Linked DNA regions of Mus musculus. The protein of the gene in region 2 purifies or fractionates together with the protein of the main gene of each other region. This does not show direct contact. Links are inferred from orthologs where the notes say so. Each region holds a gene or a part of one and is shown on either strand. Other genes may lie near its edges.

Region 1 (2,562 bases), on a different chromosome or scaffold from region 2:
AGTGTCCCACAGCTCGACAAGCTTATGAGCACAGCTGTCAGCCCTTCTGACCTGAAGCTGACACACACCTGGGTTCTACTGCCTTCCTAGAAATGTTTCCTCAAGTGTGTATGAGACAAACTGTAGATGGGAGAACAGATTTACAGAACAAGTCATTACCTGGTTGATGTCGCAGGCTGCCCCTCCCACAGACAGACAGTGATGGTGTCACTTGTCCTGAGGCTTTCGGTTTGCTGCACAGAAAGTGTCCTCAGAATACGCACTAGTATGGTCTGAGGAGGCAGAGGGAGCTTTCCACCATCAGAAGCAATTTCAGAGGACTTGATTTTGGTTGCCAGTATGGACACGGTGGCTTACAACCATCCTGTGCTGCTAGGAAGCCCTGATATAAGCATTCTTATAAGAAAAATACATTTTTTTTTAAAGATTTATTTATTTATTATATGTAAGTTCACTGTAGCTGTCTTCAGACACTCCAGTAGAGGGCATCAGATCTTGTTACAGATGGTTGTGAGCCACCATGTGGTTGCTGGGATTTGAACTCCGGACCTTTGGAAGAGCAGTCGGGTGCTCTTACCCACTGAGCCATCTCACCAGCCCAAAAATACAACTTTTAAAATCACTTTTCCAAGTTAGTTTTAGAGTTGTATACCTTGGAAAAGTTAAGAGCTTTCATGGAACAAATTAAAACATAACAAAGCAGAACAAAGCCTGCCTTAGTCTGCATCAAACCAAGTTTGTCAATGCAAAGCAGTCCTGAAGCATCTGTGCCCTCCTTCTGTTCTCCTTTCTCATTGTTCAGGTTGAAGAACAGGTTAGCACTACAGAGAGAGTATTCCAGGATAGACAGTACCAGATCGACGCTGCTATAGTCAGAATAATGAAAATGAGGAAGACACTTGGTCATAATCTTCTAGTTTCTGAATTATACAATCAGCTGAAATTTCCAGTGAAGGTGAGTATTGTGGGCACAGCTGGGGGTCAGGGTGAGTACCGTGGGCACAGCTGGGTGTCGGGGTGAGTGCCGTGGGCACAGCTGGGGGTCAGGGTGAGTACCGTGGGCACAAATGGGGGTCAGGGTGAGTACTGTGGGCACAAATCGGGGTCAGGGTGAGTGCTGTGGGCACAGCTGGGTGTCGGGGTGAGTGCTGTGGACACAGCTCGGTGTTATGTGCTGTATTCATCCCCAACATGTTAGAATCTCAGTGTCCTGGCATTTGACTTATTTGACAGGGCTGGTATGAGCAGAGGCCAGCACACATGAGGGAGGGCAAGGGCCCTGTGCACATCTTCCTAAAGACTCATTGCTTCTCCATGCTGTGTTTTCAGGAGGGAGCAGAGGCCACAGCCACAAGATGTTAGAACACATGTTCTTCCCTCACCATAGTTCTTAAGGCTACTACCCAGGCAGGCCCTTGTGGCAGTGGTGTTGGTAGGTGCTAGATTCAGCATTCACAAACTAAGTAGCATTTCCTGCTTTGGAGATGTAAGTCACCCTCTTTCTTTTAGTTCTAGAACTAAGCGCTGAGGTTCTATAGCATGTGAAATACAGGATGAGCTGGAGGAGCGTTGGAAAAATACATTATAAAATGCAGTCTAAAATGCATTATCAGCTCAGAAGGAATTGAATTCTCAGGACCTGCATCCTTCAGCAACTGGAAGTCCCCTGGTTGCATGACACCTGAGTCACACTGAGACAGACAGATTAGTCAGTACCTCAAGCATAGGTGAGGCCAGTGCCTGGCCGCTGCCCTGCCCTGCCCTGCCCTCCATGATGATGGATGCACAGCCCATGCTGTACTGCGATGTTTCCTACCCCAAGTCAGGGCATCTGTTTGTCAGTTTGCAAATGTTGTAACCTGGTAATTAAGTGTAGAGTGTCATGTGCAAATGGGCAAAGCTCTAGCTCCCATGCTTTATAGCTAATTGTATGGTCAGCCATATCTTGTAACAGGCATGGGCTGCCCATGAAGAGAAGGGTTTGCTGTTTGGGAAAGGATGCTCCCTCAGCAGAAGGCCCCTGCTTCCAAGTCTGAGTGCTCTGCTTCCTCCTGCAGCAGAAGTGATGGCAGAGACATTCTAAGGCTGTGGACTTGGCCTTGGTTTTAGTCATCCGCACAGAGACTGAGTTCTTTGACTGGGTATAGCGGTATACACCTTTAATTCTGGCACTCAGGGGAAGAGGCAGGCAGACCTCCGTGAATTTGGGTCCAGCCTGGTGTACATAGGGAGTTCCAAGACAGCTAGGACTACAAGGATAGATCTTGTCTCACAAAAGAAAACAACAAAGGCAGGGCTGGTATATGTGGCTGGTCCCCTGCTTTCTATCCACATGGCAAGTCAAAGCAGTGAGAACAGGCTCTGTAGTAAGACCTACATAGTGACAATGACACTTTTGCAGTAACTTAGAAAAACACTCAGAATGTGTGGCTGTACTGTGATGTGCCATATCTGGTAAGCATGGACTGACTAGGAGGCTGAGCACATAGAAAAAGTGCTTCACACGAGTGAATGGCTAGAGATGGTGTATACCTATAACCTTTACCTCAGGGAGGCTGATAC
Region 2 (3,653 bases):
CGCAGGCAAAATACTCATTAACCCCCCCCAAAACAAAAAACAACCCCCCAAAAAACCCTATTTTAAAAAAAGACATGTAATAGATCTCTCTCAGCAAAAATTAAGTTTTACAGAGCCAATCTTAGTGTATTATTCTGTCCTCACTATTTTATCAGTCTTGTCTTGAATCACAGTTCTTCGACACGCCAGAGTATTTTGTGGGAACTGGCCTCTTTACTGTGTGCATAAATTCAGCTTGTTGGGCTTGATTGGTGCCACTAAGGCATCTTGACAGCTCAAGACAATAGTTTGATAAATACTTTTCTTTCAATTTTTATCCTTAAGCAAGTGCTTAGACTTGTCTAAAGTGAGTTTGTTCTTCCAGTAAAGTCACAGCTGGCAGCGTCACTGTCCTAAGCTGCTATGAAAAGGACGTTAGCCACGGGCATCACACATCTGCTCTGGCTTTGATTACGGTAACTATGGCAGGAATCAAGAAGGGGTCATTGGATGTACTGCTCAGTTCAGGTCGATAATCACGTCCTCCATTTAAACAACCCATATGTGTATTTGCACAGAAGTCCTGAAATACTACATGTCTAGCAACATACCAAGTTCCAATAAGGCTTTTGGGTAAAGAATAAATGGGATAAAGAATAGCTATCAAGTTTTTGATACTCAAAAGCCACATGCTGCAAGTGTCTACTAAAGGTTAACAGAAACATGATACTGGAGAGCAGAGGAGGGACTGAAAGATGGTTAAGAAATTAGGTAATTTCTTCTTTACGATGTTATGATATGGGGTGTCAAAGAGAAGAGTTTGTGAACACTAAAGGTTAGCAAAACTTTGGTAAAATTAAAAGGGTTATACCTTGCAGTTAGTGTTAAGAAAGCCAGAAAACAGCCAGGTAGTGGTGGCGCACGCCTTTAATCCCAGCACTTGGGAGGCAGAGGCAGGCAGATCTCTGAGTTCGAGGGCAGCCTGGTCTACAGAGTGAGTTCTAGGACAGCCAGGGATACACAGAGAAACCCTGTCTTGAAAACACCAAAAAAAAAAAAGGGGGGGCAGTGTAGTTAATAGCAGACAATCTGTTATAGAAGTTGGCTTATAGTGTGCAATGGCTGATGTGCTAGAGAGGTTAGGCTAGCCTCAAACTCACTCTTCCTGAGTACTGGGATTAAAAGGGATGTGCTACCACACAGGCTTTGAAGGTTTCCGTTATACACAAACTCCGTTTTCTGCTACTACTGCTTTCCTGCTGTCCCTCAGTGCTTTAGTGCTAAGGACACTGAGGCAGAGGAGACATGCCAGTGCTCCCCTGCTGCAGCACCTTACCCTTGCCATGCTGTATCTGGAATAGTCTTCCAAATAGCCACACGGCTCACCAAGTACTTCACTTACTTAAGTCAATGAGGCCCCTCTATCATAGAAACATTTGACAGCAATTTCCATTCTTTTCTCTCACTTATGCTACTAAGCAGCTCCTGTTATTTCATGTGTTTATATCTGAGTCTTGAGTCTTCTGGTCATTGCCAATCAAAACTAAGAGTACCTAGTACATGACAGTCCATAAATATTTGTTGGCTAAATCCATTACTGTGCTTTTTTTCATAGATAAACAGAGTTGTGATCTGGATAATTCTCTTCTAAGAAATGCCAAGGGCTAGAGAGATGGCTCAGCGGCTAAAAACACTGACTGCTTTCTCAGAGGTCCTGAGTTCAATTCCCAGTAACCACATGTTGACTCAAAACCATGTATAATGGGATCTGGTGTATCTGAAGACAGCAACAGTGTTCTCACATACATAAAATAAATAAATCTTGAAGGGAAAAAAAAAGCCAAAATGATGCTTTTCTTTAAAAATATTACAAAACAAGAACAAACCTAGGCTCCCATAGTACACAGTAGGACTCAACTAACAAAAGAAAGAAACCACCACCACCACCACCACCACCACCACCACCACCACCACCAAAAAACCTTGGAGAATGCATGCTATCCTTACCTGGGCAGGCTTTCACTTCTTTTTTCTTCTGAGAGGTCCAACCCACTATGGAATGTTTATCACCTGGTTTCTCCTCTAGGCCTCTATTCAAGCGCCAGATTTTCAGTGTATTATCATCAGAGCAGGTTGCAATCTAAGAACCAGGAGGAGAATGTGAATGAAGTTTCAAATAAAGTTTCATAACAAACAAAAAAAGATGGTAGATGAGGGCTCATGAGTAGCGACTGATTTTCTCTGCTGTAACATAAAACAGATGACATCTAAATATCATCTACTTCTCTATCCCTCGTGCTTCAGAATCATCCTAGATTTCCAATGATACAAACGTTGGTTTCTTGCATGGACACGTATAGCAACGGAGAACAGAAAAGTGCATCAGACTCAATGGAAATGAAGTTAGAGTCGTCATGTGGGTGCTGGGAACTAAGTCTGGGTCCTCTGCAACAACAGCAGAGGACGCTCTCTCCAGCATACCATTCTCTCCTCAGCCATTTACACTTACAGGCTCATTTCTTTTTGGTCTCCAAAGAAGATGGGCAACTCACATCTCTAACTTTTTATGTAATGTTATGTAACTATGGTTTCCTTTTATGAAATGATCAATCAACACATATCAATTCTATAAGTTTCTTCTAAATTCTGCATGCTTAATCTTATGGCTAAAGCAACGAGAACATTTCTCAGATGAGACATAGTCTGTGCCTCCAGCAGTCCACAACAAGTGCAAAAGAGCTGCTCTTCGAAGACTCAGAGATGCTCTTTCAGATAGGTAAAGGAGCAATCTGGAAAAACAAAAGTTCACTAGTCTCAAAGAAGTTAAAAATAACCTTTGCCCCTTTAAAAATATCCGACCATTCCTGATCTTGGTCCCAAGCCTTTTATGGCAGAGAAAGCCCAGCTTGAAGAGCTAGAGGCAAATGGCCACTAATGCCAGAGCTGTTCCCCGGCATTTGTTTATACAATTTCTCTATTTCAGTCACTAAACAGAAAGGAAAAAAAGAACACACGTTCTTTTAACTTGTGGCCCCCAAGAGACTGGCAACATTTTCCTTCCCTTACTGGGAGGCCAAAAAAATGTTTGGAACTCCACAATTGCTCTATAGTGACAATAATTATATTTACGGACACCTACTACACGTCTGCTTCTTTACATTCTTTTATCTTATTTAAAAATCCTTTAAAGCAACTACCCAGCTTTTAAAATTGATGGAGATTTGAACTCAGGTCATTATGATTACATAGCAAGTGTTTTTACCCATGGAGCCATCTTCCAGCCACTTACTACTTTTTCATCTTAGATTTGGTTTAAATATTTTAAAAAATCTATATATTTTTAATTGCATGTGTCTCAAAGCTTTTGATAGCAGGTACACAACATGGAGGCCAGATGTGCTGGATCCCCCTGGAGCTGGAGTTATGGGCAGCTGGCCATGAGGCTCCTGATGTTGATGTCGATGCTAAGAACCAAACTCAGGTTGACCTCTTAAAGAACAGTGTTTGCTCTTAACCACCGAGCCACCTCTCTAGACCTTCACTTCAGATTTTAAGATTTATCTTCAGTTCAAAATTTCAACTCCTACTTAAGAAAAGAAGAGCTCAGTGGATTAGAAACCCAGCACATAGTGATTTTCCTATTGGTAAGAAAGGCCAGGAGAAACCCTGTGCTG
Region 3 (4,259 bases), about 180 Mb from region 2:
CCTGGGCTTTCATTACCATTTCAACATGTTATTCTGTATGTTTCGAGTGGCTGTGTATTGTGACCACTGGAACAAGCTTACACAAGCTTCTCAGAAAGAACTTAAGATACTAATGTACTCTAATGTCCCTAGTGTGCCCGAAGTTATACTTTAAGAAGATTCTATTTTTATTTTTGGTTTCGTTATTTTGTCTCCAATAGTCCAGGGAGAAAGCGGGGTTGGAACTCTTGATTCTCCATTCTCCACCTCCCAAGTACTGGAATTAGAAGAATGTTGCAATGTCCTTGCTCTGTTTTGTTTGCCCAGCTCCTTGACTTTTTGAAACAGGGTCTCCTGCAGCCCAGGCAAAAGCACCTGCATTAGAAGAGGATACAGACGGGCAGTAGTGGTGCACGCCTTGAATCCCAGCACTCAAGCAGGCAGCTCTCGAGTTTGAGGCCAGCCTGGACTACATAGTTCCAGAACTGCAAAAACCCCGGGGTCCAGGTGAAGCAGCTACAGAGCCTTCGAATTCCTGTGAAGGAGCAGTTACTGACGAAGAGTTAAGGAAAGGCATCTCCGAGCTGTGCTTTTTAAAATCTGTGTGCTCTAAAGCAGAAATGTCAAGAAGTGCATTTCAAGCAATGCCTAACAACTAATATATTACTAAGCCAAGGAAAAAAGTTCTAATAGAATGAAAAACTGGGTTGGGGGAGCTAAAAGAAGATGATGAAGCTGGAGAAGTCTTTAAGAACCGTGTTACGAAAAAAATTAAATATATTAGAATTAAATAAAACACAAATTTCATGCATGCCTTCAACTTACAGTCTAGTGGGCAATTGGGGATGAGAATGTGAGGGAAGAAAACCTAAAAATACGACTGAAACAAATTTCACATTAACTGCTGGAAGGCACAGGTTGCGGAGATTAAATCTGCACTGAGACAAACCTTTTTTAAAAAGTAGCGCCTAAGGCATTCACCGCTCCTAACACTTGTATAAAATGTTACCCTATAAAGTCCCTAAAAAAGTTAATCTTAGCAACCGGTAACTTTTGCTTGCCACCTCGCAACAGTAGCGAAAACACAAAAGCGGAACGCCAACCACAAACCCCGGAGGCTTAACACACCGCAAATTATCTTAAAAGAGTCACGCGATCTTCCCCCTCCAAAACCAATAATCCGGAGATACTTACACCTCTGTTTCTCTAGAGATATTTAGTATTCCAAACAATTTATTTCGTTTGAAGCACCTACACTCACATAAACATAATTCCCCAAACTCAAGTTTCCTCCTACACACAATATGGTGGCATCTGAGTCTGCGCAGTACGAGCCGAGCCGGCCGACTCCTTCCTGGCAGGCCAATAGTCCCGCCTTCCGGCGCGAAAGGCTGTACCATTCCCACACCGAGGCTTTGCGTCCCTCGCAGTTCACACGAACGGATTTCCGAGCCAGCATGTTCTCGTTTCACCGGCAAGACTGATCTTAGCCGAGCCGAGCCGAGCCAACCCTAAGGAAGTGTTTTCTATGTCGCTGCGCCGCCGCCGCGCCCCAGCGCGCGAATGGTCTGGACCAACGTCACCTCCGGTCTCAAGTGTCATGGCTGCCTTGAGAGTCTAGTGAGTGTGCACCCTGGTGGGGAAGGTCCAAAGCCCGCACGCTGAGGCCCAGTAGAAGAAAGTTGCATCTTGATTGTGGAGCGACAGCTTCTCCGGTGCCTCGGCCATGGCAGCTTCCGGGAGTGGTATGGCCCAGAAAACCTGGGAATTGGCCAACAACATGCAGGAAGCGCAGAGTATCGATGAAATCTACAAATATGACAAAAAACAACAACAAGAAATCCTGGCGGCGAAACCCTGGACTAAGGAGTGAGGAGGTCCCTGGCGAGACGCAGGGGAGGGCAGGGATGGCGGGACTGTGAGAGACCCGCGAGGGGTGGGAGATGAAGGGTGTGGTGAGCTTGGCTTTCTGTGGGGCGTCGACCGAATATTGGCCACAGTGGCCTTAGTCTGCCTTGTCAGTAGAGCCTTACCTGTCCTCTAGGGCCTGCTTCGATTCCCCTTTTAGAAAGTTTCTTGCCTTCAGGGCGTGTAAAGGGCTGACTTGGGGTGCGACTTTTGTCAACATGATTATTTTTGTAAATCTCACACACTCTGCCTTGAACCTGGTGGCTACATGCAGTTAGTTGCAGCCTTCAGTAGATTCCCAAACTGAAGAGCGTGGCTGTTTTTATAAATCGAATGAGCAGAGCATTGATTTAAAAAAAAAAAAAAAATCCATGAGCTCTTGGATTGATTGGTTTGGTTTTTTTTCAGCTCTTTAGACACATACCAAATCCTCTTAGCAGTTCCCTACAATACTACTACAATTCATGTAAACCAGGAATTATAAGAGAGAGCTTAGAAGCATTTTCCCCAGCCAAATCCATGTATCTTTGGGATTGACGACAAGTCAAATGATTCTTTAGAGCAAATTGTATTAAGGAGAGTGAAGAAAAAAATTACAAAAGGTTGCTGAGTAGACTGTCTTGCTGTCTCCAGGTGTTTTGTTCTGATGGCACAGCTGGCTTTAACCGTCAGTACTCTGTTTTCAGTGTTTATTGAGTTCTTACTGTGGGCCTGGCACTGGCCTGAAGATTTTCGTGTCTTTTAATAATCTTGACAATCCAGGATTCTTTCCCTTTCTGTAAATAGAAAAATAAGCAAATACATTCAGAAACACACCTCATGGTCATACTATAGCAATGAGCTTAGGTTCAATAGACTGAAAATCAGGTCTCAATAACTGTCATTTAGACTGTTGACTGGCATTAGGAAACTAAAGTATCTAAACTTATCTATAAGATAAAGGTTAAACGTAGCTATTAATGATGTCATGAAGATGAGATAAGGTAATTTATTAAGAAGTTCTGGATGAGCCATATGTAATGAGAGCATAGTAATGGTTGTTTTTATCTTTTTCCCAAGTAGATGGAAAAGCCAGTTTTTTAATTTATATCTTGATTTCCAAGATGGTCTCAGTAACTTTGAGCTTGTGGTTGAAATCTAACAAAAGCTATATTTGGTTGCATGCATCCAGTGGGCCATGGCAACGCTGAGTGCCCCACACAGATTACTTAGCTGTTTCTAAAGCAAGCTGCGTGATTTAGGTGGATGTAAACTCAAGACTTCTTCACCATCTATGGCTATCCTAACATGTAGGGTATGTCAGGGATTTTAAACTGTTGTTCAAGAGTTTAATCACATACAATGGTTAGTCAAAGAAGTAAAGATACTAGATCACTCTCAAGATGCTATCAGAAGGAAGCCACAAGCTAACACACTTTTTTTGAGAATATCTTAAAACAGGTTAATAAGGCTGATAACAGTACCTTAGGTTTTAGTGTCTGTGGGACTAAGCACTTACTGTGTACTTTTCATACTAATAGGTGACATACCTATTTATAGATATGTGACATAGACATTAAGTGGCCCTACTCTCTCAGGTAGGGAGTGTCAGTGTAAGATTTTAGACCTAAGCAGGGCAATTTCAGAGGCAAACATTGTAGAAATTAAATCCTCTGGCTCTGTAGGTAATAATACTTGCTATCAAGCATGCAGACCTGAGTTCAAATCCCCAGCATCTATTGTAAAAATCCATGTGTGGATATGTGTGTGTGTAACCTTTTAGCATTGTATTGAAGGATGGCAGAGAAAAGGAAGTCTGTAAGCTGGTCAGTCAGCCAAAACAGTGAGCTTTCAGTAAGAGGCTCTCTCTGTCTCAAGGGGATGAAGTAATAAAATAGAGGAAAATGAGCTGGGCATGGTGACACCCACATTTAATCTCAGCAGAGGTGGGTGATCAAGTTCCAAGGTCAGCCTGGACTACTGGACAGCCAGGTTATACAGAAAAACGCAGTCTTAAAACAAAACAAAACAAAAGGTAGAGAAAGACCCCTGACAGTCCCTGTCATCTCCACATGCCATCTGGTGGCACACTAATAAACATGTACCACAGATAATAAATAAATAAATTACTTAATTAATAACTCAGTAAATTAAGGTCAGAAAGCTAGGCCTAAGAAGGTAATCAAGTATAATAATTCCATGATGATTGAGAAAAAAGGCCTGTGGACTTGATCATTACTCCCTCACCTCAGCAGTATATTAAAGTTTATCCCAGACTCTTTATTTTACCCAAGGGGCTGAGCTGTGACTGTGACATGTTATCTCCAGGTACCTCATACTTGCTGCTCTTATTCTACTCCCACGCACGGTCCATACTCCCCTTCCATCACTAT

Evidence for each region.
Region 1: the proteins of Dtl (region 2) and Cul4a purify together in Homo sapiens (affinity purification with western blotting; 15 studies listed by BioGRID and IntAct, with this or other methods). This does not show direct contact. The link is inferred for Mus musculus from reciprocal best matches to the Homo sapiens genes DTL and CUL4A.
Region 3: the proteins of Dtl (region 2) and Cops5 purify together in Homo sapiens (affinity purification with mass spectrometry; 6 studies listed by BioGRID and IntAct, with this or other methods). This does not show direct contact. The link is inferred for Mus musculus from reciprocal best matches to the Homo sapiens genes DTL and COPS5.

The regions. Positions count from the first base shown.
Region 1 is NC_000074.6:13,143,475-13,146,036, forward strand, and holds part of Cul4a (cullin-4A), read left to right. Parts: intron 1-802; coding exon 803-955; intron 956-2,562. UniProt on the Homo sapiens protein: Core component of multiple cullin-RING-based E3 ubiquitin-protein ligase complexes which mediate the ubiquitination of target proteins. As a scaffold protein may contribute to catalysis through positioning of the substrate and the ubiquitin-conjugating enzyme.
Region 2 is NC_000067.6:191,544,505-191,548,157, forward strand, and holds part of Dtl (denticleless protein homolog), read right to left. Parts: intron 2,120-3,653; coding exon 1,987-2,119; intron 1-1,986. UniProt on the Homo sapiens protein: Substrate-specific adapter of a DCX (DDB1-CUL4-X-box) E3 ubiquitin-protein ligase complex required for cell cycle control, DNA damage response and translesion DNA synthesis.
Region 3 is NC_000067.6:10,035,259-10,039,517, reverse strand, and holds the start of Cops5 (COP9 signalosome complex subunit 5), read left to right. Parts: upstream 1-1,379; 5' UTR 1,380-1,507; coding exon of another isoform or gene 1,508-1,599; 5' UTR 1,600-1,705; coding exon 1,706-1,848; exon of another isoform or gene 1,849-1,856; intron 1,857-4,259. Other genes in the region: Cspp1 (centrosome and spindle pole associated protein 1), read right to left, coding at 1,174-1,379. UniProt on the Homo sapiens protein: Probable protease subunit of the COP9 signalosome complex (CSN), a complex involved in various cellular and developmental processes.